Oryzias latipes: one gene and its partner. The protein of the gene in region 1 purifies or fractionates together with the protein of each later gene. This does not show direct contact. Links are inferred from orthologs where the notes say so. Each region holds a gene or a part of one and is shown on either strand. Other genes may lie near its edges.

Region 1 (4,404 bases):
TATTGATGAAATCATTGATAAATATTTCTAAAGCAGACAATAATATGTAATGAAGTGAAAATCATATGTAATAAAATGAAACATTTAAGAATAATTTTTAATAAAAGGCTATTCAAAATATTGTATTGACATCAATAAAGACACATAAAGAAGCAAAAGTAAAAAATAACATTCTTTTATTTTGTAAAAGCCACAGACAAAAGTGATGAATAGCAGATGAGTGACTGGCATGCTTCCACCACCACAGCTAACCATCAACAATGCAAAACCCGAATCACTGCAAAGGAAAAAGAAAAAAATGCAAAAAGATATTTTATATTTGTTATATTTGAAAATCAATAAAAATATTGATTTGCCAAAAATATTCTTAAAAATGACACTAAAATAGAAAAAAAAAATGACCAGAAAAAGTAAAACAAAAACTTCTTCACTTAACTCTGAAGCTTTAAACTGGAGATGTCAACATATTTCATTTGATGTATCAAATTATCTGCTTTCTGATTATAGAGTAGAGTCAATATTTCATTTTTCTCCATTGACAAAACGAATGAAAAAGCCAAACTATTTTGTGCTGTCGCCGATTTTAGTGACCCTCTGGAAAATAGAGGGAAAAAAATTCATATTTGCTTCTTAGAACACTTTAAAAAAAATGAACAAACAGGTGATCGTGAAAAGAAGACCCAATAATGAGATCATCAAAAAGAACAGAACGAAACAGCGAAAAGAGAAAATCTTCATCCACCCTCCATCACCCCCTCCTCCCAAATGGAAATCAGCTGCTTGTTTCTCAGAGGACAGGAAGCTGTTCGCGCTCAAATTAGGGCCAAATTGTGGTTTAATCCCTGCAGATTGACTGCACTCTGTGCTCGTGCGCGTGTGTCAGAGAGAGTAAACCGGTAAAAAAAATGGTCAACTGGTTAAAAAAAAGCAATTAGTTTTCAGAAATCTGCTTATCAGAGATAATTACAGCAAATTTAAAGAATCTGGGTTTTTTTTTTGTCTGAAGAGGAAGACATTTCTCATCCTCATCATCTTTGAACTGGAACTAAGGATCAAAACACGTATATCAGTTATGGAAAAATCCATCCCATAATTTAGATGTGGTGAGGCCAGGATCAGCCAACCTGTCGCGTTGAACCGCTTGAGTCCTTGGTGATCTGATGGACTCCTTTATTTAATCAAACTTGACGCCTCGCTCGCGCACACTTTCATGCCCCCCCCCCCCCCATCCAAAAATCATTTAAGCCTTTCTGCTAATAGGCGCGTGCCTGTGTTTGTTTCTGCGCCCGTGACACCCATGATGATTGGTGGAGATCAAAGATAAGCAGCAGAAATCACAGCCCCCCCGACCCAAAATCCAGATCGGATTGAAGGGAAATTGGTGGCAATTAATCCTCTGGGATTGAAGGAGAAAGGCGGGAGAGGGTCACCCCCCCCCCTCCTCCCGCAGGGATTGGCTGCCGCTGTGATCCCTCGGGGTCTGGCCGCATAAATGGACCCGCCGCCCGGCCGGTCCCGCTCTGAGTTCGCTTTGCCTCCTCAGGAACATGACGGGTCGGGAGGAGCTCAGCGACGAGAAGCCCCGGGTGAAGATGCTGGCCCCGGGTTTCGGCATCGACAAGTCTCGACTTCACGGCTCCGGGTTCCGCTCCAAGGGCTTCGCCATCACCGACCTGCTGGGCCTGGAGTCGGACCTGCAGGCGCGGCAACAGCCCGGCGGGCATCCGGGCTCGGGTCTGTCATCGGCGGGCCCCGGGCCGGAGCCGCAGGGTTCAGGCGGCGGGCTCGGTGGGTTCTCGTTCCCGGGAGGCTCCCTGCCACTGGGCCTCGGCTTCCTGTGCAGCCTGGCGGCGCAGCAGCCCGCGGGGGCGCCCTGCTTCCTGCCGGGACACCTGCCGCTGCTGCAGGCCCGCACCGACGGCCACTACCTGCAGAACCTGGAGGCCCAGAGAGACGTATACTCCGGTACGGAACGGCCCGGTTCATGTGTGATTTACCCTTAAAAAGAGGACTATTGCCAAACAAACAGCAAATATTTTATTTTTAATAATAAAAAGAAAATCGAGGCCGAACCGCTCCCTGTTGGTCGGGCTGGTTCGGCCTTTTTCGGTTCTCTTCGTTTATGCTGCTTTGGAACAGATGAGCTGATACCGATGATGACGATGACTGTTCTGCCCCATAGATGAAGAGTGTCTGTCGGACCGAAACGAATCCAAAAGTTCCGGAAATTCGCAGAAGAGGAAGAAGAGGAGACACAGGTGAGGAAGGAGGGGACTCCTCTCCAATTTTGAGATCCAGATGCCTTCGATTAAGTAATATCTAAAAAACAGATACAGAGAAACATCTGGGAAATTGTTTATTCTTTTTTCCTCATTAAAATATATTGAAAATTTTCACAGAGATAATAAACGACAAGTTTTGTCTTCGACCTAATAAAACTACAATTTCGCTTATTTACTACGTTTTATTTAAAGTTACATAAAAGCTACTTTTAGAAATAGTTAATTAACAAATGATCAAAATCGAAAACGAATTGGTAATTTTAAAATTTGGTAGACCTGTTTAGGGATCATTAAGCTTTGCATCATTAACCTTTTTTTATTTATTTTTTACAAATAAACTTTTTACTGCATAAAACAGATATAAGACATTTATTTTAAACAAAACACTTTTAGTAACAATAATTTAAAATGCGGAAAAAACAATAATAATAGTAACTATTTTTAATAATAACTATTATTGTTGTACATTTTTTGCCCCTCATAATTTTTTTTGGGAAAATTAGAGATGACAAATTAAAATATTTGTTTTTTTAATGGAAGTCAGGCATGACTCTAGTCTAGTCCATTTGATCTTCTTTAGGTCTAATTCCTCCACTGAACCTCACTCTGCTTTCTACAGGACTGTTTTCACCTCCCACCAACTGGAGGAGCTGGAGAAGGCCTTTCAGGAGGCGCACTACCCAGATGTGTATGCTAGAGAGATGCTGGCCATGAAGACCGAGCTGCCTGAGGACCGAATCCAGGTCAGGCCCTAACCAGAGATCAGAGCTGGGTCATGTATACAGTACTGAACCAGAACAGAATCCAGAGAACCCAGCAAAGGTTCTAGGTTGTTATGGATAGCACTGAATGGGATTTTAGTTTCATCGGAATCCAGCTGAAACACAGATGTGTGCTTGTTTAATGATCGTTCTACGCACATCCCTCTCTCCTGACAAAAGCTAAAAGCAGGGAGATCAGCCATCCAACAATCACAGAATCAGAATCAGAATCTTTTATTATCATTCTGCAGTGCACAATGAAATTTTTTCCAGCAACTCTCGTCCAACAATATAAAAAGGTAGAATAAAATAAAATAGGAATAAGGAGCTATATAAGGCATAAATACATAAATACTGTACAGTAGAGTGGGGTGAATATTGCACGAGTGGGTATTCCACATTAGAATGGATATTGCACATACAGCATGAATATTGCATACATAGTTTAAAATACAGTCAGAAACACAGATGCCAGTGAATGCTGGAGCCCAGTGCATTATGGGACACCCTCTGTGTCATTTTGCATGGGCATTTGGGGTTAATCAGAATCTGTGTGTGGGGGGTGTTGTTCCAGCCCCACTTATTAATGCGTGGATGTTCTGATTCTGCTTTGTGTTTTAGGTCTGGTTCCAAAACCGGCGGGCAAAGTGGCGAAAGCGTGAGAAATGCTGGGGACGCAGCAGTGTCATGGCAGAATACGGTCTGTATGGCGCCATGGTGCGACACTCCATCCCGCTCCCCGAGTCCATCCTCAACTCAGCCAAGAACGGCATGATGGGATCCTGCGCCCCCTGGCTGCTCGGTGAGCCGCATGCACGTCAGTGCCACGCACACGCACCACACCGGCATCAATACACACGCACACTGCAGCATGCACTCAGTTGACCTGAGGACTTACTGCAGATCTTGCATCTGCCTTTGTTATCTTGACTGCATAGAGCAATAAATAACAGCTGTGTCCAACAAACAAGCATATTATATTCAGAGGTATGGCAGACCGGACTGAATCTGTTCTGACTCCACCCCCACAGGAATGCACAAGAAGTCTCTTGAAATGGCCAAGAAGTGTCCCAGTCCCCCGTCCTTAGACTCCACTCGATCTGAGTCGTTCTGCGACGCCTCAGAGCGGCACAGCACTGCTGGCAAGGCCCGGGACACGGAGGAGGACGAAAGGCTGCTGGAGGAAGACACGGAGGAAGAGGAGGTGGCCATCGACTTGTCCAGCTCCTCCAAACAGCAGCAGCAGAATGAGGGGGGAGCGACAAGGGCCACCTCATCACCACAACAGCAAAGTGGCAGCGAATCAGATGACCATAGCTGAAGCTGCGAGGAGCCTGATGTGGTCTGCTGAGAAAATTTAG
Region 2 (4,491 bases), on another chromosome or scaffold:
TTGATCATTCTCCACTCACCATTTTCCTTGCGTAGCCGTGTGATGAACTTCTTGGGTGGTATGACACCCACTTTCCTCTTCTGGTTGGCAATACTGTGGAACAGGTCAGCGAGGCAAGTGAGCAGGTTCTCCTTCCGTCGAGGCTGACTGCGGTAAGCCAGGATCTTCTCCCGGAACGGCCGGCAGAAGTAAAGGGCCTGCAGCACCGAGTTGCAGTAGCAGGTGTTCCCAAACTAAAAACACAAATAAATAATGTACAATAACCCAAAAATAATAACTGTCAAAAATCTCATGAATTAAAAACAAAAAAATGTGCTAATAAAAAAGCTGCTGAGAGCTGCTTAAGAGTATCATTTAAATTAGGTGAAACAGTTTTAAATAAATAAAGTTTTGCACTTCAAATCAGTCACTTACATTGACCAGACCAAAGTAGTGCTCGTTGACCGGAAACTGCTCAGATCCAATCTCTTTCTCCAGAGCAGAGGCATTGGCGCCCTAAAACACCACAACATACAAGCACCAAGAGTCACCTTACCTTTGTTAAAATAACACAAACACATTAGTAACACTTTTACATGCAACCATGATTTTAAAGGTCACATTTTGGTCAAAAGGTTAAAGTTTTGAGGCTCAAAAGGACAGATTTTAAAAATATTTTTGTCATTTCAAGAATACAATCACCATCATCATATATGTTTTTCAGCTCATGAGCCAGCATCTAATCTTGTTACAAAGAGTTATTTAATTAAAACTGATTTTCGACCCTGTTTGGGTGAATGTATCAGACCGAGCATTGAAAGTAAATAGATTTTGAACATTATTTTGAAGCTATTTAAGTGAAACTTAAAAACTAGTCACCATAACTTGTTAACATTTAATAAGCGATAAACTGAGATTAGGTTTTTTCTAGGGGGGTTGTTACCTCTAAAGCCCATGTCAACTTGGAAAAAACTATTAGGAATCCTTTTATTTAAAGGAATTGGTGCCAAGTTGCTTCCAAATCTATGTGCACCAATCAAATGCATCTGAACTATTTTTAAACTCAAATACTCAGTCTGCACAACAACTTGTTAAAAAATAAATAAATAGAGAGAGAGACTGAATAAGAAGATAATTTTTATGTTATCCAAAACAAAATGTAGGTAGCGGTCCACAGAGTAACAATTACAATTTCATCAAAGCTAAATTGTTTTTACTTAATAGATTTGTTTTCTTTCATTTTTTTAGACTATTAAAACATTCCTGCATAATATGGTCCCAGATGAGTGGAAGAGTGAGGGAGAGAGGGAAGGAAGGCAGGAAGGGGTGGAGGGAGGGATGAATGTTGGATTTCCACAAGTACTTATTCATAATCCATAAGTCAGTCCATCATTTTCATCGATAACAACTTCCATTCTTCTCAGTAGGTAAAATGGTGAGGTCTGATAACGATGTTGGATGAAAAAGTCCGTCTTAGAGTCTTCACTTTGGTTCATCCCAAAGGATGGTTAAGGAGAGGCCTCTGTGCAGACTAGTTCTTCCACACCAAAGACGAGGGTCTTTGTGGATCTTCCTTTGTGTACTGGTACACAGTCATATTGAAACAGCAACAAAAACATCCTAAACCTATCCCCCCAAAGACAGTTGACAGTATCGAAATGTATTCATAGTTTCTTTCACTACAACAAAGGATCCAAGCCCAGTTTCAGAAAAACAAACATAATCCTTCCTTCAACAAACTTCACATTTAGCACAGTGCAGTCAGACCAACATCAAACCCAAACACATCCATGTGATTGCTACATGGAAAACCTGAATTTCTTACTCCAAAGAACACATCTCAACTGCTTTACGGTCTGGTGATGTTATGCTTTTATACCAATGAATCAGATCTTAAGTGCAGAAATTTCCATGTCATGTGTCTCATGATCTGCTCACTCGAAGCCCACATAAACTGACGGACACTTTGTGGTTAAGCTGATGTCCCTCCAACTATGGTATGAAATCACTGACTTGTTGTAGGTGGGATCCTAATACAATCCCACCCTGGAATTCACTGAGCTCCAGAGTGCAGCCCATCATTTCACAGGTGTTTGTATAAACAGCCTCCATTCCTGAATTCTATTTATTTTTAGTACTTTTTGCAACAAAACGTGGCACCATTATATATATAATAAACAAGCTTTCAGTTAGTATAACGGTTATTTTCGAGGAGGATGCTGTCAACTTCTGAGGGAAAAAGCACTTCTAGAGATGTAATCCTAGTATCACCACTGTCGAGCAAACTGTCTGAAGAACAACTGCGCAGCTAATAATCTGTGTCGTCATTGCCAACACTAAAACTGTTATTTGATAGTAGTTGACGCTGCAGCATCACTACAATGTTCAACGCTTCCCTCAAAACACAGTCCGGACGTGTTTTTATCGGAAGTTTTCCTCAATCCAGTTGCTGGGAAGCTAAACATTGCTTTAGCTTCACATTAGCAAGCTAGCTTTGAACCCCTACAGCAGGTGCACAGTCACTACAACCAAATAGGGCGTGTAAATATGAAAATAATAATAATGGAGCATTAACTTTAAGTAAATAAATAACAAATATAAACATTCAAGGATTTGCGGCAAAAGCGAAGAGGCTCAGAAGGAGGAGGGTGGCTGCTCGGTTAGCATCAGAAACCTCCTCGGCTAGCACGGGAATCCGATTTTCACTGTTTTCATTTAAAATTCCGAGATTTAAATCTCAAATAACATAGTACTGTCAGTTTCTACATAGGCAAAAAGTCCTAATAATCACTATGTAAAACTGCCGTCCACTTACCATGGTACAAAAAGAGGCAAATTTGGAAACTGTCATTAGGATTTCCATTCGGCTAGCGCCATCTTCCACAACACCGCCGCGCGCTGACAAGACTGCTTAGAGAGGACGAAATACTGCTGAGCTCGCGGAGGACGGAGCTGGACGCGAGAGCACTCACCGCACACTACTTCCGGTTTCGCTTCTGCAGTCAGCCCTCTTTGATTAACTCAATGTACTTTCCGAAACTGCCATCTGTGTGAATGATTAATAGATTTATCAGAAAATATTTAAATTGATTATGTGAACAACATAATATCGTATATTTATTTTATAATGGCAGTTATACGAGTTGAAGAAATTAGATTGGTAAATCTAATTACTCTTAATCACAAATACCACCATTAGCTTGTACGTACAGAACATGACACATTGAAACTATACAATATTGAATTTGTCAAATTATTTAAATTAATTGCCTAGATGTGATCCTATATAATTCCCCTCCAGTTATATTTTACCTAGCTTTTTTTTCTTTACCTAAATTATCTTCATACTGTTCTTAATTTCTGATCCCTGTTGAAGTGCAGGTCATTGAAAAAAATCAAAAATTATTAAAGAATCAAATGACAAAGACGAAATACATATTAATTACGTAAGTAGACATGCCATTATTACAGAAATCAGTATAATATGTCCAAATCAAGTGCCAAAAATAAGTGAATATTGTTAGTCATTAGAAAATTACTGTCACCACAAGAGGGCACAATTCAGGTCTTTTGTGTCACTGTCCCAAGTGCGGGTAAATTCAGAAGGTTGTGTCAAGAGTGGCATTCGATGTAAACTAAATCGAACAAATCATGAACCAAACTTTGACTCCAGATAATTTTTGGTCTGGGTTAACACTGACCGCCACCAATGCTACTGGTGCCAGTGGAGATTAGACTTCTGTACAAGGAAGAAGCCATGTTAGTTGGCAACAAAACCAAAAGAAAGAGATGTGTTGGACTTGGAGTGTGGAACTTTGAATGTAGGGATTTTGACAGTGACAACTACACAGTTGAATGACATGTTGGAAAAAAGAAAGGTGGATATCCTGCATATTCAAGAGAATAGATGGAAACGAGAAAGGGTAATAAATTAGGAGCAGGTTCCAGCTGTTTTATCACAATGTGGTTGGAAAGAGGAATGTAGTAGGAGTGATCCTGAAGGGGGAGTTCATCAAAAATATTCAAGGGGAGAAAAGAGTCTGATAGGAGTGTAACATTGGGTAACAGGTGACAGCTAAAGTGATCTGGGAGATTGAGAGGAAGGTATTTGTGTTGTATGGAATGAGGAAAAGAGATAAGGAGACTTGGTGGTGGAAGGAAGAAGTTCAGGAATGTGTTAAGAGGAAAAGGTTTTCAAAGAAAAAGTAAAATGCTTAGAGGACAAAAGAGAGCAGACGGCAGTACAGTGAGATGCATCACATGGTGAAGGTGGAGAGGGCAAAGATTAAACAAAGGGCAAATAAGGACCTGCATGACAGGTTGGACATAAGGAGGGAGTTTGTATCAGTTAAGGCAGACAACAGAGAAGGATGTGCAGCATGGTAGGTTGATCAAGAACAGCAATGGAAATGTGTTGACAGGTTCCAAAAGTGCAAAGGAAAAGATGGAAGGAGAACTTTGAAGAGCTGATAAATGAGGAAAATGTTAGAGAGCCCGGTGGAAGTGACACTG

The links.
Region 2: the proteins of visual system homeobox 1 (region 1) and usp12 purify together in Homo sapiens (affinity purification with mass spectrometry; 3 studies listed by BioGRID and IntAct, counting the BioPlex papers as one, with this or other methods). This does not show direct contact. The link is inferred for Oryzias latipes from reciprocal best matches to the Homo sapiens genes VSX1 and USP12.

The regions. Positions count from the first base shown.
Region 1 is NC_019873.2:12,757,948-12,762,351, forward strand, and holds the start of visual system homeobox 1, read left to right. Parts: upstream 1-1,497; 5' UTR 1,498-1,547; coding exon 1,548-1,965; intron 1,966-2,182; coding exon 2,183-2,258; intron 2,259-2,901; coding exon 2,902-3,025; intron 3,026-3,664; coding exon 3,665-3,860; intron 3,861-4,074; coding exon 4,075-4,364; 3' UTR 4,365-4,404. UniProt on the Homo sapiens protein: Binds to the 37-bp core of the locus control region (LCR) of the red/green visual pigment gene cluster. May regulate the activity of the LCR and the cone opsin genes at earlier stages of development. Dispensable in early retinal development.
Region 2 is NC_019878.2:17,502,205-17,506,695, reverse strand, and holds the start of usp12 (ubiquitin carboxyl-terminal hydrolase 12), read right to left. Parts: upstream 2,931-4,491; 5' UTR 2,843-2,930; coding exon 2,795-2,842; intron 496-2,794; coding exon 415-495; intron 234-414; coding exon 20-233; intron 1-19. UniProt on the Homo sapiens protein: Deubiquitinating enzyme that plays various roles in the regulation of the immune response and inflammation.